4 linked regions of the Astyanax mexicanus genome follow. The protein of the gene in region 2 purifies or fractionates together with the protein of the main gene of each other region. This does not show direct contact. Links are inferred from orthologs where the notes say so. Each region holds a gene or a part of one and is shown on either strand. Other genes may lie near its edges. The genes, in order: tsen2, tsen15, clp1 and tsen54.

Evidence for each region.
Region 1: the proteins of tsen15 (region 2) and tsen2 purify together in Homo sapiens (affinity purification with mass spectrometry; 4 studies listed by BioGRID and IntAct, counting the BioPlex papers as one, with this or other methods). This does not show direct contact. The link is inferred for Astyanax mexicanus from reciprocal best matches to the Homo sapiens genes TSEN15 and TSEN2.
Region 3: the proteins of tsen15 (region 2) and clp1 purify together in Homo sapiens (affinity purification with mass spectrometry; 4 studies listed by BioGRID and IntAct, counting the BioPlex papers as one, with this or other methods). This does not show direct contact. The link is inferred for Astyanax mexicanus from reciprocal best matches to the Homo sapiens genes TSEN15 and CLP1.
Region 4: the proteins of tsen15 (region 2) and tsen54 purify together in Homo sapiens (affinity purification with mass spectrometry; 4 studies listed by BioGRID and IntAct, counting the BioPlex papers as one, with this or other methods). This does not show direct contact. The link is inferred for Astyanax mexicanus from reciprocal best matches to the Homo sapiens genes TSEN15 and TSEN54.

Annotation. Positions count from the first base shown.
Region 1 is NC_064431.1:12,867,896-12,875,000, reverse strand, and holds the start of tsen2 (tRNA-splicing endonuclease subunit Sen2), read left to right. Parts: upstream 1-4,097; 5' UTR 4,098-4,200; intron 4,201-4,425; exon of another isoform or gene 4,426-4,713; intron 4,714-4,745; exon of another isoform or gene 4,746-5,158; intron 5,159-5,276; 5' UTR 5,277-5,281; coding exon 5,282-5,473; intron 5,474-6,642; coding exon 6,643-6,709; intron 6,710-6,842; coding exon 6,843-6,882; intron 6,883-7,105.
Region 2 is NC_064415.1:56,947,671-56,954,552, reverse strand, and holds the start of tsen15 (tRNA-splicing endonuclease subunit Sen15), read left to right. Parts: upstream 1-3,875; 5' UTR 3,876-4,267; coding exon 4,268-4,321; intron 4,322-4,979; coding exon 4,980-5,061; intron 5,062-5,160; coding exon 5,161-5,296; intron 5,297-5,688; coding exon 5,689-5,857; 3' UTR 5,858-6,882. Other genes in the region: acbd5b (acyl-CoA-binding domain-containing protein 5-B), read left to right, coding at 86-279, 668-718, 1,503-1,612, 1,716-1,728. UniProt on the Homo sapiens protein: Non-catalytic subunit of the tRNA-splicing endonuclease complex, a complex responsible for identification and cleavage of the splice sites in pre-tRNA. It cleaves pre-tRNA at the 5' and 3' splice sites to release the intron.
Region 3 is NC_064417.1:23,193,442-23,200,887, forward strand, and holds the start of clp1 (polyribonucleotide 5'-hydroxyl-kinase Clp1), read right to left. Parts: upstream 3,025-7,446; 5' UTR 2,919-3,024; intron 1,557-2,918; 5' UTR 1,555-1,556; coding exon 1,279-1,554; intron 1,250-1,278; exon of another isoform or gene 1,059-1,249; coding exon of another isoform or gene 1,014-1,058; intron 451-1,013; coding exon 343-450; intron 1-342. UniProt on the Homo sapiens protein: Polynucleotide kinase that can phosphorylate the 5'-hydroxyl groups of double-stranded RNA (dsRNA), single-stranded RNA (ssRNA), double-stranded DNA (dsDNA) and double-stranded DNA:RNA hybrids. dsRNA is phosphorylated more efficiently than dsDNA, and the RNA component of a DNA:RNA hybrid is phosphorylated more efficiently than the DNA component.
Region 4 is NC_064426.1:11,616,730-11,623,638, forward strand, and holds the start of tsen54 (tRNA-splicing endonuclease subunit Sen54), read left to right. Parts: upstream 1-3,889; 5' UTR 3,890-3,936; coding exon 3,937-3,998; intron 3,999-6,247; coding exon 6,248-6,406; intron 6,407-6,909.

The sequences.
Region 1 (7,105 bases), on a different chromosome or scaffold from region 2:
TACTCAATTATTTCCCATTTTACACTCTATATAAGCCATACCATTAAAACCAGTCTTACAGAATACAAGGCGCGTGGTTTTAATGTTATGGCTGATTAGTGTAAATGAAGATTTGTATATGATGCTGTTTACATGCAGTTGTTAAGTATATCTATTATAAGAGATGTAGAATATAAAGTAAATTACTTAGAAAGTGAATTGCACAGAAAGTGATGTTGTTAGTAGATGTACTGTACTCTTTGTCTCTGCGGTTGCTGATTTGACTGAGCTGAACTATAGAACTGGTAGCTCTGAGTTCCGTTCTTTAGTTTTGCAGGAAATGCACTTTTTTCATAAAAATACAGCATTATAAATAGACTGATGTTTAGAAGCCTCTACTTTTGTATCTACTTTGTCCATAACTGATTGTAACAAACCACAGTGGTTTCACACTAAACTGAACATGCTTATAAAAGAGACCACAGAAATAAATGTAGTATCAAACATCTGACGAGTATGTTCATGAGAACTGCTAATTACCTGCAGCATTTTTAGTTCTCTCATAGTCTTCTCATAGTTTTGAGCTTATAAGGCCTCTTTCAATAACTATATTATTAACTTGTTATCCAATCCAAACATTTTACCTTAATAATTTTTGATCTCAATATTGGACATTCTTGTTTTTCTTGAAAAAAAAGAGCCTAGTAATGTGAATGAGTTGGTGTGTTGATTTTGTGTAAAAACAGTTATTGTATTTATGTTTAAATTATTTATTTATAGTATATTTCGATATAAATGGTCCTAATAATTAAAGTATCTTGCTCTTTAAATGGGTGTAATTATATTAATCTAATGTCTGGAAGTTTTTGTTGACATACCTGTGGTTTGTTATTAGGGCTGCGCGAAATGGCTACAAAAAATAGCCATTGTGAAATAAAGGCATCATGCAATTCTTTTAATTACAATGTTTCTACAACACAATTTGCTAAACATTTGGCACAAGAAACCACACAAACACAGATGTGAAATATTATTATTATAATTTTATATACCATTTAATATATATATATATATATATATATATATATATATATATATATATATATATATATATATATATATATATATATATATAATATAAAGAATAATCAGACACTATTTGTTCTATATGTAAAAAAATAGTGTCTGATTATTCTTTGATATATATATATATATATATATATATATATATATATATATATATATATATATATATATATATCAAAGAATAATCAGACACTATTTTTTTTACATATAGAAATGTTAAATATTCAAAATAAATAAAACACAAATAAAATAAAAACACTCATTCAGGTTTATGGGTTCTTCTTACTAACAGAACACAATTGGAAATTATGAGGAAATTATTCTTTAAGTAATATTATTACATATCTCCCATTTATTTAAGTTAGGTTGTTTTTTATATATATATATATGTTTTTTATACATTTATATATATAAACATATTATGTATTCTACTGTAAAATCCCATATAAAAACTATATGCTATATAAACACATACCTATTCTATGATGCATGTGTACTTTGCATACATTTTTAAATTTTTAACAAGTAAAGATAGAAAAGGGTGTACATTCCTCACAGTGAGAACTTTTTTGTGGTGGACAAATCATCAACCATGAACTGCATGCAAGCTGAATAAGCCAGTTTAACTCTCCCAGCCAGTCTCATTTTCCACCCACATTCAGTTCTGAGAACCCTTTTTTTAGCTTTTGTTGTCTACAAGAACTCTGTCCTCTCAGGTGCAACCAGTGAAGAATCAGGTCACCGATTGCTCAAATGGTATCATGTTTTTTGGCTTTGTAAAAGTTCACCAACACTGGCTGGATTTCACTGTGTCATCTGCGTTCATGGCCAAATTCGTCATTTGGCTGCTGATCAAACTAAAATTAACTGTAGTTAACTTTTGCTATTTATTTTTATGATGGTCATTTATAAAGCTGTGAAATAGATATTATATCAGAAGTAGATTTTTACATTTACGTTCATTCTTTCTTATATAAATGACAATCATATTGTTTTTAAAATATATTTTCTTTGCCTATACTCCGCTTTAGGAAGGTGCAAATGTATCTTATCACCTTAGCAGCAAATATAAGCCAACCATTCTAGAATTATGCATCTACATATTTTGTCTCTTTTTGACTTATTCTCAGACACATTAACGTTCCTTTAACTGTGCTGTATTTAATATACAAGCTGGCAGGATGCCTAACATGATGCCTACCTCAAGGCCCATTTATTCAATGGGCAACATGCTGGTTAAGATTACCCCCTAGTGGCTGATCTAAAATGTGAAATATTTTAAGAGCTCAAAGCAGCACACTGATTACCATCAAAATCCAATTTTAGCTAAGCAACAGTGACATCTATCAATTTAATTGAGCGGATGAAAAAGTAGACTTCATACGGATACACTGGAGCAGTAGTATAAGTTTTAGCGTCTTAAAAAACACTCGAAAAGTACAAATTCATCAATATTTTACTGGAAGAAGGTGCCTGAAACTAGGAACCAACTCTGACAAAGAGTGATAGTATGAACCCAGTGAAAACCAGAAATGCTTGACAGTTTCTTGGAATCAGAGATTTTTATGTCAGGGTTTTTTCTTTGTATTTTAGGGGACACACCTCAGACTTTCAACTTGTCTGAAATCACAGCATGGTTTGATTTAGTGGGGAATCTGCTAAGTTCAATGGATTATACTGTACATATACAGCAGGAATGTTTGAGCCTTAAACATTTATTAGCAATATTTTATTCTATTATATTCTATTAAATTAATTTATTCTATTAAATACATATTTAACTTTGTATTTACACACAATAATATTGTTTTATATTTTTGGAAGTATTCATTAATATATCCAGGATCTAATGCCAATAAAGAAGCTGTTAAATTATTTGTTTAAATTATAGGGACATGGGTACTGATATTCTAGCTTTTGGTAGTATCATGAATGGAATAACCAGTCAACTGTCCTTCTAGCATTCTGGCTGTTGTCCTATTTTATTTGTAATTAAATGTAGAAACACCCTTATAAACAAACAAATAGTTAGCAAAATCTTATATGTTATATGAATATTATATAACTGTATAAAACTGTCATATATCGGTGTGCTCTGACTTTGGTGGATTGGCATTTTAACATTCACTGCTTCTTTGCATCTCAGCAGAGGAAACTGTCCTGCTTAGTAACATTGTGAAAGTGTGCAAGCAGGTAATTTACGGAAATGTTATTTTATTTGCTAATTGTTAATGGAAAAGTTGGGTTTGTGAGTGCTGCATGTTTTGTGTGTGTGTATGTGGAGCGGGGGTGTATGCACATTAAGCGTGCATTGTGCCTGAGTTGCCAAGATAACAATGCACATCTGACAGTTAACTGTTGTTAGGGTTCTTGTCAGTCAGTGATGCACCTGTTTTTTTTATTGTCAAGATAGCAATACCTGAACACACCTGACTTCCAGACTGCCATGCCCATCTGTGTAGATATATTTGTAAGCGTCTTTGCTTCTTAAAAAATGCAAACACAAGGCGTGAAAATAGACTGTTGATGGAGTGGAAGATAGCAATAAGCATTGCAACACGCTTTGCACAGGGTGTAAGATAGAGTCCAATGTTAAGCTAAGCTAAAGATGTTGCCATGTGGATCAGCCCGACATCTTCCTGTAGCAGTTTTCTCCAGTTTCTGAAGGTCTTTTGAATGTGTATGAAACAGTACTCACCGCTTTCTTTCGTAATCTGTAGCTATTTTCTTTAAAGAAAAGACTTTTAATAGTTACAGGGTTCTCTGTGTTGCTGTGTCTTTTTGTAGTTTCTATGATGAAAGTGTAAATGTGCAGTGTGTAAATGCTGCAGTAGAGAGTGCAGAAACACAATTTGTTCCAATAATGCTTGACTAAAGACTACAGGCTAAACAATTTCCATAGCTTTTTCCTTTTTACATTATACATTTTTTTATTTAATACAATTTTTTCTTTAAAAGGCCTGATAGTTTACTGCTAACTTTTCTAGGTTACTATTTTATGTATTTCACGTCACCTGAACATCTTAAATGGCAAAAACAAACAGAAATAAAACAACTGCTTCAAAACGGACAGGAACCAAATACTAGTAGCTGTGAACTCGGTGGACGTGTTTCACTGTGGCACCGGAACTGCAGGTTAGTTAGCATAGCACAGCGTAAGCTAAATACATGAATGGAACTAAATGTGTGGATTTAAAGTTTTGTTTTTTATATTTCTGTGAGAAATCTGTATAAAATGTTCACAATGATTTCAAAGAATTGTCATTTTCACTCACCCCAGTATCTGTTTTTGCCGTTTATCCAACTTGCTAACCGCTCGTTCAGGGAAAGCTAACGTCAGTTACAGCAGATGATCAGCGTGCTAAGCTAACTGCCTGTCTGTCTCCAGGGTTACCAACCAGCTAGCGTAGCAGCGTCTCTAATCTTGTTTTTCTGAGGCGTTAAGCCATTGTTTACTAGAATTTAGGGTGTTTCTTCTTACTTTAGAAATCACTTAATATCTACAAAAATCTGTATTGACATCTTAATGTTTCTTCTGAGCTTTGTTTGTATTGATTTTCTGCAGTTAGAGCCTAAAGTTACTCTTCTGGGAAGATTTATCTGATGATTTGCTAAAATACATCTCCACCAGAGCATCAGTTAGAACAGGTAGATAGCTAACTAGGGGTGAGCGATATGGCTCTAACATAATATCACGGTATATCATGGTATTTTCACGATAGTGATTCTCTTGGCGATATGAAAAAAAAAACTGAATAAAAAAATTCAAGAATATACTACTGCAACAAAATGAAAATTAAGTATTATTATTGCCTATGATATGATATGGCACACCATTAACTGAGATATTACAAAATACAATTTTATCAGATTTGTAGCAGAAGTCAATGATCCAGAATGTCATGATACTAATAATACACTTCAAATATCTGTATATATCCAGTATTAAAGTAAAATTAATAATACTGGACAAACACAATCTGTCTGTAGTAGAAAGATCATGGGAAAGGGGCAAAAAAAAAACTTGGGGGGCCCCCCTCTACAACCAGCCCTGCTAAGGAGTAAGAACTTGGGACAGGGTTGCAAAAATGAGGTCTAGAAAAATATATATTTCTTTTTATTAGTGAAATGTTTACAGAATAAGTCTTTTTGACCACACCAGCACTTTGTAATCCTACAGTTCTTATATGTTCTCTTTATATACATTTCAGCAGATATGGAAGCGGTGTTCCAGGCTCCAAAACGGAGACCAAAAGTTTACGAATCATTTGAGAGCCCACTGCCCGTTCCTTTTACCTCAGTCCAAGGCACTTCCTCACTTCAGGGGGCCCTCATATGCAAAGCCGAGATCATAAACCAGCACGTTATAGTACGAGAAGCTGACCACATTCAATCACTGTATGGAAAGGTAAGTTTTAACAATATGTACCCTTTTTATTGTTGCTGTTTATTCAAGCAAACCTTTGGATGTTCAGCTTTTTAGGTTTTAGTAAAGTATACTAAATTTAATTTTAATGTTTTAAATAGAGCATTATGCCGACCTTACACCTAACGATTTTTAAGCGATTTCTCTCTCGCAGACAGATTTCCAGAGTCGGGATAAAATCACTAGAGTCTGGCTAGAGTCGGGCTACAGTCGAGTCGCGGTCGCATCATTCGGATCGTTTAGTATAAGGTGGTTATGACTGAAAGTTTTAGTCAGTCAGGTTTGCGTCCTGGCGCTCAGATAAAATCAACCGTGTTTAATATTATCTCAAGTCTTGAGACTCAGCTCACGCAAATAGTGACGTGAACAATGTCAGCAACCAATAGGAGAGGGAGCTACGGGAAGAGGCAAGAATATATTTCACGTAACTGTTCACATACAAACTATTTAAAAAAGAACAGATTTGGCAGTTAATATGCCTTATATGGTTCTTACTTTAATATGTATAATTTTTTAAACACAGGTTGCACTTTAAAGTTATTATATTTGTAGTTATTTTATTTTGCACTACTCTGTCTTATTGTGCTGTGTTATTTTTAATAAATACACATTTTGCAAGAATGATGTCCTTATTGCAATAATTCTATTTAAAACAAAGGCAAATGTATAGCAGCAAAGCTTTGATTATTTGCTGTACACAAATGTAGCAAAAAGGGGGGAAAAGAAGTTTATAATCAGAGCTGAACACAAAATGTATTCTATTAAGTAATATCAAGAACAAACAGTGTGGCAGAAAAAATTAACTGTTGATGGGGACACATTTTGTGAGTCTCTGATAAATCGCATTATTGACTGTAATTTAATTATTTGTAATTTAATATGTAATATGTATTGTATGTAAACTCCACCTGAAGCATGATGGTAAATAATCTCAGAAAGAATATAGTTGTAGTCTTGCAGTTAGTGATCCTCAGTCTTTGCAAAATCTTAGCCTGTGACTATTCTGTGAGTAAAAAGTCTGTGACAAGTCTTTAGATGTGAGAGGGTGTCAGACTTCAGTCTTTTCAGAGTCTTTTCAAAGTCATGTAGTGTATGGACAGCTTTAGTTGTATTTAGATTTTTTACTTCATATTTTATAAATTTTTTTCTAGGGTTATTTTGGTAAAGGAGTTCTGTCAAAAAGCAGACCAGAGCACAGTATTTCAGAACGGTGGGAATGTGAGTATTGATTTGAATTTGTATTTCGCTAATTTCATCTTTACATGTTTACAATGAAAATGTTGTAAGTTTTAACTGGCAATTAAAATACAATACACTAAAAAACACATTATTTTCTTCTGTTTATATCTAGACATAGGCAATGAATGTTTACCTGTTATCCCCTTGTCAAGGTAAGTAGTTGGCACTTCATAATTGTGATTGTTTTGCTGTCTGTAAATTATAAATATCTTCAAGGCAGCAATTATGAAAAATAATAAAAAATAATTAAAAATGAAAATTTGTTATTCTGCCTTCTACCAGATTATTTCACAATACTTTTTTGTTGATAGATGTTAGGAAGGAAAAATAGGTATTATGTATTATCTAACAGATGCATATTATATTATGTCTGCC
Region 2 (6,882 bases):
TTTGCTGCTTCCGGAACACGTCCAGGTTGTGGACGTTGCAATTTATAGCTCATAAAATGAAGTTCATGATTTGCGATTGTTTCAGAACATCATTTAGGTGGATCTCAAATCGTAGATGCTGTTGGGAAAACACTGAAAGGTCATGAAGTCCCGCAGTGTGTAGAGAAAACCAAACACCGTGTGAACACACAGATCACCTCAGCATTATCACGGCTACAGGATGACATGCAGAACGTGCTGCAGAGACTGAACACACTAGAAGCTCTGACTGCAGCTCAGGTGAGTCAGAAAAGCTTTGCATCTTTAGATCAATAATCTTTAATATTCATGTTTATGTGGTTTTTATAATAGTGTTACATTCTACTAGTCTTTATTTCATTTTACACTTAAAAAATGATAAAGACTAATATTACTATTTCATACTATTTTCTCAGTGTTCAAGACCAATATTTGGAAAATTAAAACGATAGAAAACTACAGTATATCTATACATTATAAGATCTGGTCATAAAGTTGATATTTCTTGCCATCAGATATTATCACAATCTATATTTTTGTTACAGAGGCATCAAACCAATTCTTCAGATTTTTCACAGTGTGATTTCGATGTTTAATTTTTAACCAAAAGAAATTCAGGTTAACCTGCTGTACTGTATTTTCTTCTCAGGATGAAGCTTTTCCTCCTGAACAAGACCCTCATTCAGCTTCAGTAAAAAAGGTAGGCTTACAATACAGCTGTCAAATATACAATAGTACATTTAATTATATTAATAAAATCACTAAAGAGAATCATAAAGATGTTTAATTGGTTTGTTTTAGTTGGTTCTAAACTGTATGTTTGTAAGTTAGATAATTAAAGTTATAAATGTATTTAACATTTAAAAGTTTTTGAAGTTTAGATATGTAAGGTTTATATATTTATTAGGGCTGTCAACGTTAAACAATGAATCAGTAAAAGAATCACTAAAGAATCAGAAACACGTTTTCATTTTTGTTATGCAATTAATCATACCACCAAGTTTAACCCCAATTTCGCTGTAATCTGCCCCAGCCAACACAGCTATCAAATACACTTCTTTTTAATTGAGCTAAACTGCTGATAAGGTGCAGTTTAATCTGATATATTAGCCAGATAACATACTGCTATGAACAAACACTGTCTCTGCTGCTCCATACTGTTTACACACTAAGAGCGCAGTCTGTGCAGCGTTCACTGCTCACAGCCACACCACTCTGTTTACAACATGTCGAAATTTTAGATGTTTTCCAGTTAGTTGTCTGAGGTTTATATGTTGGGAAATTGGACATTAAATGTATTTGTGTTTAAGATGTAGATGTTTTATTCTTGGTGTTTGTAGAGTAGAGGTTTGTTTAGGTTTAGAAGTTTGATAGATAGATGTTTGAAGTTTAGGTAAATATAACACATCAATTCTTAGATTCTTAGAAACTATATTTTAAATTAATTATATAATCTTTTCTCTTTAATCTGCGTAATTTGCCAGCGATTTCCCTGGTGGCCTCAGGACACGTCTCCTGTAACTGTAGCTCTGGCTCTTATCTGGCCTTTTGCTGTGAACTGGCTGGTGCAGATTTATCTTCAGAGGAAGAGGAGGTCAGTATTTCATCAGTATTTAATCAGCAGTGATTAAAGCTCTTATTTTGTGTTTGAGGTTCAGTGATGTTCTGCTCACCCAGGCTGTATTTCTGGTTTTCAGGAGGATAAAATGAAGACGATGCTGTGAACGTATCCGAATTCAGGTGGAGCCCTCAGTGACAATCAGCCTCTTTCTACAGTATTTATAATATTACAGTGTAAAAATGTATTAAAGATACATATACAGATTAGCATAAATAAGTTAAAAATAACAATAATTCTCATTTTAATAAAGTGGCTAAGAACTAGAGTTCGTTTAAAGAACAAAGCTTGGTTCAGTTCCATCACCTGTATACTGATAAACCCTAAAACACTGATTTATTAAACCAAGTGTTGGTTTAGTGAGTGGAGGATAACCACAGCGAATACACTCATGAGTTGAGTTTTGGAGATGTTATATATGTTATATATATTATAAAACAAATGTATATATGGATTAATTGTATTATATTCTATTATAAATAAACACTCACTGCCCAGATAAGAATCTTATAATATTTTATTATAAGCAGTAAAGTTTATTCTTTGTACATTTATTAATATGTTTATTTATGTTATGTATTATTAAGTGCAGATGATATATTGTGTTTAAAATCTGCATAGTTAGAAATATATCTAAATTTATTTCTAAGCACTTTATTTATGTTGCAGTAAAATTACTTTATCCTGAATAAATATTTGTGAGGTTTTTTTTTTGGTAATGAAATAAATATTTGGTGCAATTAAACTTCACACCTTGCATTGTTTTTTTTTTCTACATTTTTGACCTGTTAAGGAAAACATTGTTGACATGTCTCTCCAAACCATCACAGACCATCAGTAAATTTTAAACCAGAGTCAGGAGGAAGAGTGGAGAGGCTCAGCTTGCGGATTTCATTTTCCAGCAGGATTTGGCACACTGCCCACACTGCCAAAAGTACCAGTTGGTCTTATATAATATTCTAATTTTCTGAAATACTGATTTAAAAATACTGAATAAAAGAAATAAACGCTTAAAATAGATCAATCTGTGTGTAATACATCTATATAATATTTGAGTTTCACATTTTGAACTGAATTACTGAAATAAAGTAATTAGTACATACCAATATAAATCCGTGTATCATTCGTTCATTTGATATTCAATTGAGAATCAAAATCGGAAAATTAAAAAACCAATTCGTTTTTTCGTTTTTTCGTTTTTGAATATAATACCAAAAAACGAATAACGGCTTGTATTTTGTATTTTTATTTGGTTATCCAAACAAAAATTGGAAATTTAAAAAACGGACCAGGAGCCGAATTTGATTTTGATTTTGAACTTGACCCATTTGTGTGCCCCGGAAGTTACTGATTTGTTTATTCTTGGTGGGTTTCTGTTGCGCGGGAGTTCACTGCAGTGTTATCTACACAGTCTGTATTGCTGTAGGCTTTGGATTGAGTTGAGGATGGAGAGTTTTATCTTGTTCATAGGAACTAAACGCGTTGCAGTGAAAGAAGACGATATGACAACAGAAAAAATCGGCAGGATCTTTCAGGTGTTTGTCTAACGTTCCGTAGCTAAATGTCATATTTAGTTAATGTTATTCTGTGAATTGCCGCCTACTAAATATGACATTTAGCTACGGAACGTTAGACAAACACCTGAAAGATCCTGCCGATTTTTTCTGTTGTCATATCGTCTTCTTTCACTGCAACGCGTTTAGTTCCTCTGAACAAGATAAAACTCTCCATCCTCAACGGCCCTCTCCAATTCTGTGTTCGATACATGTCTTTTTCGCTTAAGGTCGTGTTGAACACAGAACCTTCTAACACTCATTGCAGAACATCGCTGGATCCCCATTTGCTGCAACGTGCACGAAATCTCTTCATGCGTCTTACCACCTTCAAAAAGATCTTTAATTAGGCCAGAATGTGGTTCCAGTCCGGCCATGCTGCCTACAGCAATACAGACTGTGTAGATAACACTGCAGTGAACTCCCGCGCAACAGAAACCCACCAAGAATAAACAAATCAGTAACTTCCGGGGCACACAAATGGGTCAAGTTCAAAATCAAAATCAAATTCGGCTCCTGGTCCGTTTTTTAAATTTCCAATTTTTGTTTGGATAACCAAATAAAAATACAAAATACAAGCCGTTATTCGTTTTTTGGTATTATATTCAAAAACGAAAAAACGAAAAAACGAATTGGTTTTTTAATTTTCCGATTTTGATTCTCAATTGAATATCAAATGAACGAATGATACACGGATTAATATACATTGTTTGAGCGATTGATTTCCTTTAATGCGGAACCTCTTGTTCAACAGCGTGTTTTTTTTTCCGGTAGGGTTTGGGAGAAGCGCAACAACAGCACGTTGGGGCGCGTTCCATATGTGGTTTAAAGAGTCTAGATAGTGCGCACTTAACATTTTAGAAGCCCGTGTTTTCCAGTGGCGAAGTGGCAAGTGTTACATGTTGGCGTTACCGGGTGCACTCCAGTCTGCTTTCAAGTAGCTAGATAACTTTAGTTTATCGTTTAGATATTCAGCTTTATGTATTAATTACCGGTTCGGTAATTAATACACAACAGTAGTTAGTCTACTTAAACGCAGGTACGCGATTTGGGACGCGCCCTCGTTCTGAATGGGAGCATGGAGGAAGAAAGCAGAGCGGCTGATTCGAGCTGGATTAAACAGCACCCAGCAGTGAGTTTCGGTGTTTTTAACCTAGTTAAGTATCTTTTCTAGCTATATTATATTGTTTCTGTATTTTTAGAGACGTTTAGTTACTTTAAGCTGCCTGTTCTTCATTCCAACCAATATACAGTAGTATAAAAAGGTTTGGGCACCCCTGATAATTTTCATGATTTTTCTTTATAAATCTTTGTTTTTTGGATCAGCAACAAAATTATGAGTTTTTTGATTTTATCAAATTGAAAACCTCTGGAATATAATCAAGAGGAAGATGGATGCTCACAAGCCATCAAACCACCAAACTGAACTGCTTGAATTTTTGCACCAGGAGTAAAGCAGCATAAAGTTATCCAAAAGCAGTGTGTAAGACTGGTGGAGGAGAACACGATGCCAAGATGCATGAAAATATGAAAACTGTGATTAAAAAACAGGGTTATTCCACCAAATATTGATTTCTGAACTCTTAACCTTTATAAATATGAACTTGTTTCCTTTGCATTATTTCAGCCATTTCTCATTTTCTGCAAATAAATGTTCTAAATGACATTTTTTTTTTCATGCAGTTTACATTACACTGATTAAATTGTAGGACCTCCAAAAACATCTTTGAGTCTTTATTCAATGACATGATTTGAGTATCTATGGTCTAAAATGTGCTTATTCTCTTTAGTACCAAGACCTGATGAATCTGGATGTTGGTGACAGCGCTCAGGTCTATGCAGCATTCCTGGTTTATCTGGACTTAACAGAAGGTAAGAGAAAACTCTAGTGTTCTCCAGTACTGTGACGATATGTTCAGTGCATGTTGGATGTTAATCAGGATGTCTTGTCATGGCTGAACTCTGTTGCAGTTCGTCGCTGGAAGGACGTGGTGGGAGTCGCGAGCTCTGAGCTGCAGGCGGTTCTGCTGGAAGGCCGTGAGAAGGAAGGTGAACCGGTACAGGTGGTTTATCCACTTCCCTCACACAGAACCGTCAGCCACAAAGAGTAAGTGGACAAGGTTTGCGTCACTACTGTAATACTTTTCAAGGGTCTAAAGCAAGAGATTGCTGGGTTGAATCTTGGTCATGCAGCTTACGGCCATCAGCTGCTGGAGCCCTGAGAGAGCACAGTTGGTCTTGCTCTGGGTGGGAACAGTAGATGGCGCTCTCTCCTCTAATCACGCTGAGGGTGATGTGGATTAGCACAATGCTGCGTCTGTGAGCTGATGTATCAGAACCGATTCGCTTTCCAGGGATTCTGGTTTCCTATCCAGAGTTTGTTTGTCTGTATCTATTTTTTTCATGTGAGCAGACATTATTATCAAGGCATTTCTCTGCCTACACCATGTATGACTCTATATATTGTATGTGGCACATTTTGATTAAATCTGTTCTCAGTTTGAGGTGTATCCTGGACCGAGGAAGCCCAATGCTGTTGTGTGCAGTGGCCTCAGACTCCACCCTGGTGTACCAGCGGCTGTGTGACGGCCTGCTAACCCCGGACCCTCCGGTGGACATTCAGGACCAGGGCCGGAGACAGCACCGCAAGAGAAGACTCCAAACATGACCATTACATGACCATGTAATGGACATAACATTGTGGAAGATTCTGACTGAAGTTGAGGGGCAGTGTTCAGCCCACTGTCTCAGATTTAGCTTTTTATAATTTATCTGATGGCTGTATTTGAAGGCAGCTTTTCATTGGTGGGCAATAAGGCTGCATGATGGGGTCAGAATATACTCACCTTTCTGTAATGACAGTATTATAAAAAAGATCAAAAGTGCTTGCACGGTTAAGAAGTGTGCAGTTCTCTTTGACCTTTATTATTTTTCATAATATTAATGGCTCCTATCCAGATGGGGTGTGGCACAGGTACCTTCAGTGGCTTGTGGTTGTAAATACAATCCTCACTCTAGTCTCTGAAGGAGTTTAGTGTTTCTTTGTGTGTGTCCTCCTAGGTTAGGTGAACTGGGCGTGCTATAGCCTGTGTAATGGGATAACATTTGACAGACATTTCCTTTGGACAGTCCTACATTTTGGACTCAAAATAAACAATAAATTATATATACACTAGTGCATCTCAAAAAAATTAAATATAATTGAAAAGTTACTTTGTTTCAGTAATTCAGTTCAAAATGTGAAACTCATATAGCGTTATAATTGTTTGTTTATTTTATTGTTGATGATTATGGCTTAGAACCAATGAAAACCCCAAAAATCAGTGTTTTAGAAAAGTAGAATATTCTATTAGACCAATTGGTACTTTTAGCAGTGTGGGCAGTGTGCCAAATCCTGCTGGAAAATGAAATCTGCATCTTCATAAAAGTTGTCAGCTCTGATTTTGAACTTGATATAACACAGTGGATCAACACCAGCAGATGACATGTCTTTTTAAACCAAAATTGATTACTCTTTGTGTAATACATCTATATAATATTTCAAATTACGTTTCACATTTTGAACTGAATTGCTAAAATAAAGTAAATATAAACTTTTCAATGATAGTCTTAATTTTTTAGATGCACTAGTATATATCATATATAAAAGACATAAGGCTCCATTCATCAATATCTTCCCAAGACAAATTTTAA
Region 3 (7,446 bases), on a different chromosome or scaffold from region 2:
AACGTTAGTCTAAACAAATTAGGTATTCTGCTGCATAGGAATACCTGAATGCAATATCTGGGCTACTAGCAATCCATTTTGTCCTCTGCTCAGCGTGTATTTTTAATTAAATTCAAGCTAAATTCTTATCTGGCTGTTCAGAGTTGCATTACTGTGTATTGGATATGCACCATATTAAAAGTTGCCTTAACTGCAACTGAAAATGCCAGATACAGTGTGTTGTTTGCCAGTCATCTTGGCTCACATTTAAGAAATATGTCTTGTCTGTCTAGAAAGATCAGATTTAGGCCAGTCTACCTGCTTTGTGATTGGAGCTGTAAATGTGTGAATGGAGTGACATACCCTTGGACCCCGCTCATTGTCTCTCTCAGCTTGTCGTCTCATTTGCTCCAGTGCAGCGTGTGTGTTCAGATACAACAACATTGGTGTGTCTTTAGAGATATATGCCACCTACAGACAAAAAGACATATTACTAATTTTAATAATTTTATTTTAAACAAATTTCCAGAGAACTTCCTTTCTCTATGCTTGATTATCCTCTTCATGGCTCTATTGCTTAAGTAAGTGGTCTTCAACCCTGCTGCTTGGAGAGATACCTTCCAAATTCCAATTTTGGATCCAACTACAATAACCCCACCTGTTTAAAGTAACTACTGCCTTAATTTGCAAAATGGGGTGTGTAAAATATGGGTTGCTGCTTCACAGGACAGTGATATTCAAAAAGAATGAGACTACTATAAGGTTCAGTATGGTGGGGTAACTATTCATAAAAATGTAATAAGGATATCACTACACCGATTAAACATAACAATAACACCACTTTCTGAATGGTCAGTGGAGCTGACATAATGAACAATTCATGTAGGAACAAAGCATATAAGATACTCTACAAACTTCAGAACTTACAGTCCCTAAATGATCAAAAACAGTCCCAATACACTCTATGTCAAATTTATGGAGTGTATACAACCCCCTCTTCTGCAGTTCTGATTCACACATGTCCCTAGGCTTACCACAAGAAAGAATACAGCTCTGTAGGCACACACAGATAGTAACATAAAACCAAACACTGTAAAATCACTTAATTTATTTGAAAATCAAAGTCACATATTCAGAAACTATGACAAATTTGATGTTTGGCTAATGTTGCATTTTGGTTATTTAACATCACAACAGTGATAACAAGTTTGACACAAAGTCATAATCCTGTGTCAAACTGAAATTGGCATTTAAAGTTGTCAGTGTCAGTAACGGGTGTGCAGTACTCATGATCCTTACCTCTGTTTTTCCTGAGAGTGAGAGGCTGCAGCCCTGCCAGGTGAACACAGCGATCTTAGAGCCTGGGCCGAACGTGTACCTCTTATTTCTGTTCAGTTCAGAGCCGAACACTTCGCCCATGCCAGTCAGGAGTTCTAGCTGGACCCGCTCTCCAGACTCCACTTCAAAGCGCAGCTCAGTCTCCTTCTCTAAGTCATAACGTGTCCCTACAATCCCAGTGCCTCCTCCAGTACTCCCTCCTTCCTCACCAGGTTTTTCAGAGACCTCTGTACTCATGTCTGCAAGGAAAGAGGTGATGGAAAATAAACCATCCACGGCTTTTTCCAAAAATGCACACTATCCGACCATACATATTTTTTTTACTGAATGCATGAATATGGAGGAAATTAGAGTCAAGTGTTTTTAATCAATAGAATGACAATCAGAATGGCACTCAGTTCAATTTCAAGAACAGGGATCTATCAAAGTGTTCCCAACACATTTTTGTGGAATGTGTGAAGGATTTCTGAGGACCTCAGAAAAAGAGTTTTGACAGATTGTGTACAAATGAAGGTAATTCAGTAATTGTTACCCTCTTCAGGAGTGGTTAATTAACAAAGATCACTTCAAGAGCAAGGCTTGTAATAGTCAGCGGGGCCACAAAGGACCCCAGGGTAACCTCTAAGCAACTGAAGGCCTCTCTCATATTGGCTAGTATTAATGTTTCTGCGTCCACTATCAAGACAACCATGAACAAGGATTCCAGGTAAGGAATTAAGTATTAAATGAACCGAATCTCAATAAGCACACAAGTTGCACTTGTCTAACAATCTGATGATGATGATGATGATGATGTTTTAGATCATATGTATAATTGTAAAATTCTTTTAAAAACTTTCAAGCACCACTGCAGTAGTTTGCCAAAAAAAGCAAATTTACTCAATATAGTCTTTGGCCAAGACATGCTTGGTGTCCCAAACTGCGTTTTTTCACCCAACCCACCACATGGGGTGCCACAACAACCATTTGGGGTACTTTAGCAACTGCCTAACAACCCCTGGGGTAACACTGCACGACTAGAGCAACCCCTTTGAATAAACATAGCAATCCCAAACGAATTCACTCTTGTAATACCACAGCAAGTACCAGGGATACCATCACAAACACCTGACATATCGTAGCGACTGCTTACTTAACAACATCTCAATTTCAACTACTAGAAACTTTAGTAACCACTCAGGCCCATCACAGCAACCACCTAGCATAAACATAGCATCTAGGTAACTTAACCTAGCTCGAAGTGTACGTTAAATAGTAATATTAAAGTTTGTTAGAAAGCTAACTAGCTAATATTATTAAGCACCTGCGTCTGAGGAAGATCAGATAATATTAAACTGCAGATTTAATCTTCTCTAAGGTTTGTGTGTAAAGGTGATATAACTTAATGAATGTTTTATAGAACAGGCGTTTCACTCGTTAGCGATCTTAGCCTTTAGCTAGCTTAGCTCCGAGCCCCAGCAGCAAACTAACAATACACCGCCCGCCTGATTTATCCTCTTTATCCAGCGGCTGAGTTTAAACTCCTCCCTGAAATATAAAAGCATGTGGTCTAAAAGTGTTTAAATATAAAATAAAAAGTTCAGGCTGTATTTCCTCCTTACTGTCCAGTAAAATCTCCAAACAAGTCCAGGGGTCTTCAAACAGCCCACCAGCGCCAGGCAACTCGGGCGCGTGGTGATGCCGTCAGACATCACCCGCACGAGGCTCCTGATTTAAAGGACCCTTTTTTCCTTTACAAACTCTTCACCCACTATAACACACTGTTTCCCTCAGAAAACAACCACTTTTGTTTTTTTAACCATATTATACTTTATTTTTAACATATCGATGTGTTTATTTTCTTTTTCTCTAATGTAAGAAGGCATATTTACGTCCACTACAATAAGGCTTACAAGTGGGTCACAAACAAAATTATGTAATAAATATGCAAGAATGTATGCATATTTATGCAGCAAATTGCAAGAATATGTAAAGAAATATTTTAGGCCGTTTATATTCTTACTATACGCGTGTATACTTACTTAAAGTGTTTTTGCAGATAGAATACTCCAGCATGTTTTGGGTGCCTGCTCTAAAATATCTGATTCAAACAATAAGTTTCATACTCCCATAGGGTCTCCCAATCTTTCAAAAAATTACATATTTACTCCCATAAAATCTAATTATGCCATGGAGTGTGAATAATAAAACAACAAATTCTCAATCATTTCTAATCCAGTTTTCCTTCAGTTTACACGGGTTAAAAAGTAAGTGGAGAATTGTATTCTCCTCTCCTCTATTAATTCCTCAAAAATGATAAACAATTAAAATGTACAGACATCTAAACAATCGCAGGCCTGTTTTATATACTTAGTTACACAAAATATTTGTATCTTCAAAAGTATTTACAGCTTTAGGAACTACATTTTATCTCTAACTACATTTAATGATACAAAACAGCATTATTATTTACTGCAAATTAAATTATGTAAGAACATTATCTTTAGATATGTTTATATCTTGTAAGGAACATACATGGGTCATGAAAGGAGACAAACCAAGTACAAATATAGAAGCTTTATTATTATTATTTTTTTAATGAGAACAGAAAACAGACTAAAACAGTTCAGTTAGAAGGCAAGACATCTGTAACCTCAACTCTACAGATCCAGACTGGTTTTATTTTTTACAAAAGCAGAATCACTCAGTTAGCCATGCACGCGAGGCCAAACCGCAAAACCATTAAAAAGGATTGTATATTCCCACTGAACAATTTCCAGTGTTGGTCCAATGTATCCTGCTATATTGAAAAATCCTACTTTATTAGATGACATAACATACAGAAAACCACACAGAAAAACAGAAAAAGTGAGAGAATAGATCACAAGATCTAAATAACAAGAATTGGAGTTAAGAGGTTAAGCAAGAGATCACAAGGAGGCTGCAATCATCCAGGGTCTAGTTGCCAAAAAACATCAGAGAACAGACTGGAAGTCGTCCATTTGGTCCATCCTCATCATTATGCATACATAGAACCAAAGATGATTGACTGAAAATGAGGGTAAATCAAACATTAAACATTTGCTAAGCTTTTTAAAAAAACTTCCTTAAAAAATATTCCACATTTTTAAATAAACATTTCAGAAAGTGCATGCATGTAATAAACCTAAAAGCTAACTTTTATGATATTCCAACATACCCATCTCCTCACTAATCTCTAGTTGCTCTTCAGGGCATCGCCAAGCACAGTCACAACCTCAGCAGGATCTGGAAATTTTAGTTTACGGGGAGGACCCTTCTTGATGCCAGTCCAGAGGACCACCTCTGCAACAAACAAAAAAATAGTTCACTCATTGCTGACACAGATGTGCAAATAAACACACAAAAAATGTATAGTCCCTATAAAGAAATACTGCCAATAGAATAGAAAATTACTCTCTAAAACACAAACAAACCTACTGGCACAGTGCACAAGGTCAGCGGCTCAATAGAGGAGTATAAATACCCCAGGCACTAAGCTGTGGGGCGGTGGAACTGTGTCCTCTAGAATGATAAGGCTCCATCCAATACCAAAAGGCAAGACTGTGAGGGACTAAGGAATGCCGTTTGCACTGGAGACTTTAATTTTTGGTCTGTTTTAGCATGTTTGCAGTGTAACTATTCTAGTGCATTGTTTGTTAACCCTGCCTTTGGAATCCCGGTCTCACCTAGCCATGACCAGTTAAACTCTGCATAAAAGTAAACCAGCACTTTAGACATCATTATATTCTGCATAGCTGCACCATAACCTTTGTCTCCTTCCATTAGGGTGACCTCAAAGCTGTTTCGACGAGGCTTCTGGGGGTTGAGCACCACACGCAGCTCGGGATGTACAGCCAGGAGAGCCTCACGGACCATGTCGGCATTCCGACCATACACTCGTCAGCTTTTACTAAGAGGCAAAAACACATTGCAGCCATTATGTGAACACAAGCCTTTTGAGAGAGAGCTCTATACATTACACACCTCCCAAATATTATTAAATATAATTTAATTAATTATAAAAAATTATACATGCATTTTTTTATTTAATATCAACTGTGTAACAAACTAATACAACCAAAATCTGGGTTAACCCTGTTAACAATCATTGAAAGAGAGAGAGAGAGAGAGAGAGAGAGAGAGAGAGAGAGAGAGACTGATTCTGACCAGTGTTCGATGACCACTCTTTGGCCTTCGTCCTGTTCGGCATCTGTTGTTTTATCCTTCTTTGCCTCTGGCTCCGACTCCACAACAGCATCCACCTTGCGCTTTGCCCCACGACCTACACACACATATTGGAGACTATTTAGTTCAATATGGATTGAACAGATAACCAGAAATTAACTACTGAGTACTGAGGGGCTGTTTTTCTTGTTTTGTGGGTAAGGATACTATAAGTCCCAAATGTTTGTTGACACCCCTAGTACTGAATGTATTTAGTTCCTTTAGATTGCACCCACAGCTTGTCTCGTCTCTTAAAATACATCTTAAAAAAAAAAAAGAATCTGGAACAGATCATTTTAATTATTTTCCTGTATAAATCATTGATTGTTCAGACCAGCAGTTTCAGTAAAATATAAATAAAAATAAGGTTAAAATAAATCAAATAAGGTTAATAGAATTTGAAGAAAGTGTACAATAATTATACCAAATAATTAAACCAAATTAGAAAAGTGCATAAAAAATACCAGAAATAAATACATCAATATATAGTAGATTCCCGTTTTGCAGAAATAACAACCTCTAAAGCTTTCTATAGCTTCCATTGAGAGTCTGGCTTCTGGTTTAAGGTATTCTGGATTATTCCTTTTTACACAAATAAATTTGCTGATCCAAACAACCAATGATTTATAAATGAAAATCAGGGGTGCCAAATTTTTTCATACCATTTCATACCATAGGGGGCGATCAACACTCTTATAACATTTTCTCACGTGGGTATAAAAACACTAGTTAACCATACTACCACCTTCCACTATTAGAACCTGACCTCACTAAAGTCTTTGTGGCTTTCAGAGGAGAAGTATTATACGTATACATATATAAGCTGGGTTAAGTATATTAGCTAGTTTAACTAGTTAAGTTAGTTAACATCGCCTAACGCTTCTGAGCACTGCATCGCTGTAAGGTTAAAACAGGTTTAAAGGTAAGAAAACCACGTATCCTGACCCAGGAGTGGCTAAAACATGGCCAACGTAATGTGCACACCTTCATAACATCTATGTTAGCTGGATAACTAGCTAACCTGTCTACCCGCTGTATTACTGAAGGTGTTCAGCCAGACTTATAAAATCCAGGTTATCTAATGAATCTGTGCAGGTCGTGCTGCTCACTCTTTAGCTACGTTACACAAGCTAACTAACACTAGACAACTGCTCTACAGCTCCTCGGCTACTCACATAAATATCTACTATGTTGCACGGTTATAAACCCTGACATTTATTTAACTGTAAAATAAATCACTAACCTGCTTTAGCGCGAGGAGGCATTTTAGGACGCCGCTGTAACTGTTTTTGGCGCGAACTGTGGAAGAATCTGCTGTCCTTAAACGACTCCTGTAAACGAGTCAATCGAGCCTAATAACACTAAACCATGTACTAAAAACAAATGATCCGATTCACCAAAATGAATCTTTCCTTTACTGAGCCGATGGGAGCTTTTATAGAGAGAATACTCACTTCAGCATCTCCTCTGGGTTAGTGTGACCACCAGGGGGCGCTACGGAGTGAGCCCAAAATGAATGGGTTCAAACGGAGTAATTGTGCAGAATGTATGCCATATATCATATATCATCATATGTATATATATTTTCATACTTAATATTTTGCTCTTTTTTTTCAACAATTGTTTCAGCACCGCAGACATAATTTAAAAAGCGTTTAAACTACAGTTATAAACCTATTAAACATGCTCTGGCTGTAACTTTAGCATCTGCTCACCAGCCAGACAGCTCACGGTAGCAGGGATGCTATAGCGCCTTTACTGCGTAAACCCGTTTGCTGTAGACAAATTCACAAAAATGTAGGTAGTTTTCTTAATTTATTTTGGTAATGTATTACATTTTATTTTTAAGAATCCAAAGAACATCACGGCCAAGTGAGTATTTACTGTTTGTAATTTTTAGCCATT
Region 4 (6,909 bases), on a different chromosome or scaffold from region 2:
CCATAGTAACATGTGGCAGAAAAAAACACAATGCTTCATTTTCAGGAATTTATAATAGTAATTTCACCTAATATTTGAGGTGAAGCTCAAGCTGTTCACTGTATTTAAACTTATTTTAGAGAATCAAGGTCATAATTGTAATTCTAGGTCAACCACATTGTTATTAAATAGCAATTCCTAAAAAATGTAAATTGCTGCCATTTAGGGGGGCATACCATGACACGGTGAATGCATGAATGAAGTGAAATAAAAGTGAAAATAAAGTCATTAAGCTGGGAAAGAATATTTATCTGCAGTCTTATAAATATAATAAATTGTCAAAAGAATGTCAAATGTTTAAATCATTTTTTTAAAGTTATAAGACCCAATTACCAATATTCGGATAATGATCCACCAAAGTACAACTGTATTATTACCTAACAGTTTTTTTCCCCTGTCTTCTGTTTAATGTTTTTTTTTACGAAGGAAAAACAGACACAAGTCTCAGCTTTTGGGGTAAAAACTCAAAAGGTGGTGAAGTAAAGCCAGAACATGTTGCATTTTTGGTGCATGGGTGGCCTCACTGTCAGCTTGAGGCGTTTGTTTCTATGGTGATGAGGAGGTCTTGGGAAGCTATCTGGCTTACTGGAAATGTGGCTGCATTGTTGACTTTCTGTCAGGAGGTGGGGGGTGGCGGGGGAGCCGTGGAAGGAGTGACTGCTCCCTTCCTTGTGGTGTGTGTCCATGTTTTGGTTTGTGAGGTACTCTTTCATTTGATATGCATCCCTCACCTCTGGGGTCAGTTGGTCTTGTTTTGTGGCCAAACAAAGGAGAGCCTGAGCACAGTGGCCACACACGTCACCGTCCACTGTCCACCTGACACCCCTAATAACACCTTACAGAACACTTCATCAATTGCCTTGAAGTGCAGTCAAAAGCTTTTAAAACAAAGGCCATTTACACATTCACATGGTGCTTACTGGATGTGTAATGGGCTCTGGTGTCATCTTCCACTTTGGTGTCTCTCAGAAACCAACAATGTAAATAGATGAGACAGTGACAGCAATGGTCCACCCAGTTTGAACATACTCAACTAGTATTATTAAGTTCAGCACCACCTTTTTTAAATTTTTAGTGGTACATTAGGCGTTTCTAAACCTCAAGCGTTAGCCTTCAGATTTAAGGTGTGTTCTACAGCCTCCTGATGTAAAATATCAATTGTTCAGATTTTACACACAGTATAAAGTTATAGTACAGTACAGTAAACATATCCAAAATGATAATGATGAACAGAGTATTATGGGTGGGTCACATTAAATGTTTCTCTGTTCTCAACTTGGGAAACTTGCTTGCTTCATCTGACTTCATAAAATATTTTAGAAAAGGATATTTCTTGCAGAGAAAATTAAATTTATTCCTACATCAAACTGATGGCAGACAACAAACAGCATCTGTTGTGGGTAATGAACTGTACAAAGGTAAAAACTCCATAATAGACTGCCGGGCTTTGTTGCCTACAGGGCTGTCAAGGTTACATTAGCGTACACGATTCATTTGGATGGATTAATGAGTAATTATTTTGTTAACGAAAATTAATTACGCCATCAAGTTTGACCCTAATTTCAACTGTAATCTGCCCCGCCCAATGCGCAGATATTTTTTCTAGAGTGGTTTGCTTGTGGTGAGAACGATCTGGTAACGATCTGGTAACGATCAGACCCATCTGAGCTATCAAATATATTACTTTATAACTGAGCTAAACTGGCTCAGTTTAATCTGATATATTAGTCAGAAAATACACTGCTATGAACAAATGCTGTCTCTGCATCTCCATGCTCTTTACACGCTAAACCTGCAGTCTAGAGATGGAACAATCGATCGGCTGTGTATCGGCAGTGTTCTCAAGTCTCATGCTTTGAGCGTGTGACACACGCACCTCAGCGAGTTTACACGCTCACACGCCACACATGGTATTTCTCACGCTTGCCAATCCATCAGCTGTAAATTATAATGTACTCTCGTTGAGCCAATTAGAATATAGATCGCTCTGTTGTTAGGCAGACCTAGTCAAAGAGGGTGGAGTTTCAGCCAGAGTGTCAGGCGAAGAACTGTCCTATTCAAAAGTTCTGAAACACGCGTTGGTGAGCAACAACGCCCCCACCCCCCACTTCAGATATGTGGTTTATTTGTTAGGAAAGGGGCTACGTGAAAATGTACATACATCTTCACCTATTGGAGCTGACGTGTCTGCATGGCCGTAGCCATATTGGAGGAGGCAACCCTGCGCCCCGAGTGCATTAATTTACACTGAGGAAGGAGTAAAATACACCAATAATAATCACAACTCTACCATTTTCACACGGTTTGGTTTGTTTCAAACAGCAGAGATGTAGTTATGATACAGGAAGCTGTCACACATTACAAATACCTGCTTTCATGCTGAAATACTTTATATTATGCTCTTTAACAAAGACAGATATATGGTATAGCATATTAATAAGGTTTATAAATTAATTATATATATATATATATATATATATATATATATATATATATATATATATATATATATTGACGTATATACACATAAATACACACAATACACATATACACACACAATATATATGTATATTTATATTTAAAATTGCATGTTATCTGTCTTCACTCTCTTAACTATAAACTTTACCATGCAATTCAAATATTAAAATCCTTGAGTTTTTTTTGTCATTGTTGTGTGACTCCAAATATGTTTATGAATGAATTCACTTATATAAAATATATACACATAAATACACACAACACGCAGCAGCTAACAACAGCAGGATTAACGGAGTTAGTTAGCTCACAAGCTAACAACAGCAGGAATAACGGCGTTAGTTAGCTCACAAGCTAACAACAGCAGGAATAACGGCGTTAGTTAGCTCACAAGCTAACAGCAGCAGCTAACAACAGCAGGAATAACGGCGTTAGTTAGCTCACAAGCTAACAGCAGCAGCTAACAACAGCAGGAATAACGGTGTTAGTTAGCTCACAAGCTAACAGCAGCAGGAATAACAGCGTTAGTTAGCTCACAAGCTAACAGCAGCAGCTAACAACAGCAGGAATAACGGCGTTAGTTAGCTCACAAGCTAACAGCAGCAGCTAACAACAGCAGGATTAACAGGGTTAGTTAGCTCACAAGCTAACAGCAGCAGCTAACAACAGCAGAATTAACAGGGTTAGTTAGCTCACAAGCTAACAGCAGCAGCTAACAACAGTAGGATTAACAGATTTCTAAAACATATTCGCTCATTCCAAGTATTTGGAAATTTAGTTAAAAGCTCTGGTTTATTGCTGTAATGTTAATTACTAAAAATGCTAAGTTTAAATCAGGTCAGCGCTTGTTATAACAGGTTATGTGGGCAGACAGAGTCAGGCTAAATTTTTAGCCCATTCTAAGCTCTAGCTGGAGTGTTAGATTACTGTTGCTCCTATTAAAATAATATATTATTAGTTATATATTAACAGTAAATATGAGCTATTTTAAGAAGTATGCTGACTCTGGTGATTGGCATATAAAAATATAAATTGTTGTCTTATAAATATTTACACAAACTTATATCTCTCCTGAAAAGTGTTTATTTTGGTCAGTAAAACTCTTCTGTTTATTTATTATCAGAGTAAATTACCAGTGTTATCTTGGGCGTGGATGTAATTAGGGGAATATGTACCATGTTTGCCTCGAGATGAAAGATGATCAGCGATCGAAATTGGCACCAAAAACACTGATCTCTAATGCAGCGTTCACTGTCAAAAGTATGGACACACCTCTTCCCATTCAGTATGTTTTATGTTTTGTATAATATTTTATATTTTATATTCAGCACAGTACCATGCTGCCCCTAGAGGAGCAGTTGCTGCACTACACCCCTAACCCTTCCGGCACTAGGACCCAGCGCTCACAGACCAGCTGTAAACATGGCCACGAAACAAGCTCACGCGGAAGCTGCACGCGCGGAACGCAGTGAGGAGTTATTAAGGTAAACGCGAGGGATTACAGCTTTCTGAGATTCCGATAGGTATCCGCTCTGTCCCGTTAGTTGGTTAGTCTAAATTCAGAGTTTGTAGCCACACATTAGCAGGGCTAGTGCTGTAGACTTGTGTCTGTGGAGCATGTGTGGGCTGAGCTGCCGTCTGAGCGCTAACAGCAAACTTTCTGATGCGTCTGAACAATAAAACATGCTGCCTACTGAGGCCGGATCCTGAGAACAGGCACACCGACATGCCTGAGTCCAACATTCCCACTCCAGCCCTGTGTAAATGCTAACAGCTAATGAGAACACAGATAAACACTGATACAGCACTGGAAAAAAATTGAGACTAACGTTACTTCCGTTTCTGTGAGTTTGCTATTTAAATATGTTTAAGTAAAGTGAACATTGCTGTTTTATTCTATAAACTACGGACAGCATTTCTCCCAAATTCCAAATAGAAATATTTTCATTTAGAGCATTTATTTACAGAAAATGAGAAATAGCTGAAATAACAGAAAGATGCCGAGCTTTCAGACCTCAAATAATGCAAAGAAAACAAGTTCATATTTATAGTTAGGGTTAGGGTTATTTATAGTTAGAGTTCATAAATTAATATTTGGTGGAATAACTGATTTTAAAACACTGTTTTAATGCATCTTGGCATGTTCTCCTCCAACAGTCTTACACACTGCTTTTAGATATCTTTATGTCTTGGTGCAAAAATTCAAGCAGTTCAGCTTGGTTTGATGGCTTGTGATCATCCATCTTCTTCTTGATTATATTCCAGAGGTTTTCAATTTGGTAAAATCTAAGAAACTCATCATTTTTAAGTGATTGTTTTTTACAGAACTGTATCTAACAGTGAATTGTCAGAACAGCAACAAGGAATCAAGTCAGCATTTCATGCGTTTCAGACACATCTAGCACAGCTGATTCCACAACTAACTGACCCAACCTAGCTAACACAGCTAGAAGATCCGCTCAGTATAAGACACGTTGTCACACCTTCTTCTGGCCGGTGTAGTGATCTATAAAAGCAATATATGGAGCAGGTTTCATATCCATCCAGCACACTGTAACTCAGAGGAATTTCCCTAGATATGACACGTTTGTATCTCTAATGATTTAACGTTGTGTTTTTATTGTTTTGCTTTATTTAAATTACTAATATTAAATATTTATATATTACTTGTATTCAGATGAGCTCAGTAAGGATAGTTCATTGTCCTCTGTTAACATCACTGTTGAATACAACCTAATTACAACAAGCTAAACTGCTATTTCTGCTGCATCCAGACTTGTAACATTACCTGACTATTACAGATATTATCTTATTTACAGCACAAAATTTTACACCTGTGAACACTTCTAAAACTAGGCTTTAAAACCCACTTCTTCCGATTTCAGCAAAAAAAAAAAACAAATCAGCACAGCCTGACTTTTCTAACAGTAAAGATAAGCTGCTGTAATCAGTGAAACTTGTGCTTATAGCACTGCAGCCTGAACAGTTTATAAAATATCTGCATACATGTGGATGGCTTGAACAAATACTATGTCTTTGAGAACTATTTCTTGAACAAAAACTGCTTTCAGACCCAAAATATTCTCAAATATGGTAAAGCAGGTATCTTAGAATCAACAGTTTATTCATAATTAATTTGGTGTAATAACTTTCTGCTAGAGAGTTTGTAGAGTACTACATTTTTCTCCCAATTACCCAAGCATTTACTGATATATTACACTATAGACATGGCTAATTCAAAACATTGCTTATATGTAATGTTAGCTAGGTATTTTAGGAGATGGAACGTCATCCCTCATTAGCACAGCATTGTGAGAGAAAGTGAATTATAATAGTAATAATAATAATAATAATAATAATAAGTATTATAATGATTAGTTCATCATACTCCTAAAAGCATTGTGAGAGTAGAAGAGCCCCAACCCTTCAAATGCCTTTAAATGAATGTCAGGCCAATATCAGAATTTTAAAATCAACCAACAATGCCTGTGAGGCGGTGTTAAACAAAGGTTCTTTACCATCACCAACATGTAGTGCAACCTAAATTATAAATTCTATACAATGTTCTTTTCCATCAGGTTTCTGAGGAACTAGTTTGTGAATGACTGGAAGTTGTTGTACAGGAAGATCCTGTCTTAATGTTTTGCAGGCAGCTTGTTTAGCTACAGTATTTCTTCTCCTCTTCACATATTTCTTCAGTATGTTCTGCCTTTTTCTGTCTTTTTACCCAAAGCCCATCAGAGCTGTTTCATGCTCGGTCACGAAGTCATAAGATTCCTGTGAGAGGGCAGAAGGAGTTCTTGCCCACTGGCTCTGAGCAGCAGAAGACACACCTTCAGAAGAGTCTTCAGGAGCACTGGACTCTGGTGGCAGAGGAACGTGTGGAGAGACTGTGAGTCACTGCCAAACCCAATTATCAACAACAACATTTCTAAGGAAGTGTTTCTCAGAACTACATTGCTTTGGCCCTCGGTACATATGTGTTAGGTGATTCTGTAAATACCTTTGTTCAGAGGCTTCTTCCTACAGTCAGTTACCTTTTCCTTCTTTTTGACACATTTGTGTTTAAATAAAGAGCCTTTGCACCAGAGAGAGAGAGAGAGCACAATTCTTTTACCAGAGGTATCCCTGTTGGTGGCCAGTAGGTGGAGCCCTTTTCCCTTTTTTAATTCAACTTTGATGCGCTCGACCGGGGTGCTCATTCCTGGTGGTCTACCATCCTGAAGATTTCAGATCTTACACACCTCAGTCTAGAATCTACACATGTCCCTGCAAAGCTTTGTTAGACTGTTACGTAGGTGTGACCAACAGGCTACAGGGAAGGAGTCTTCATGGTACAGTCGTACAAAGAACCTGTGCTACCTAAACTGCAGACTAGGACCCTAGAATCTCTAT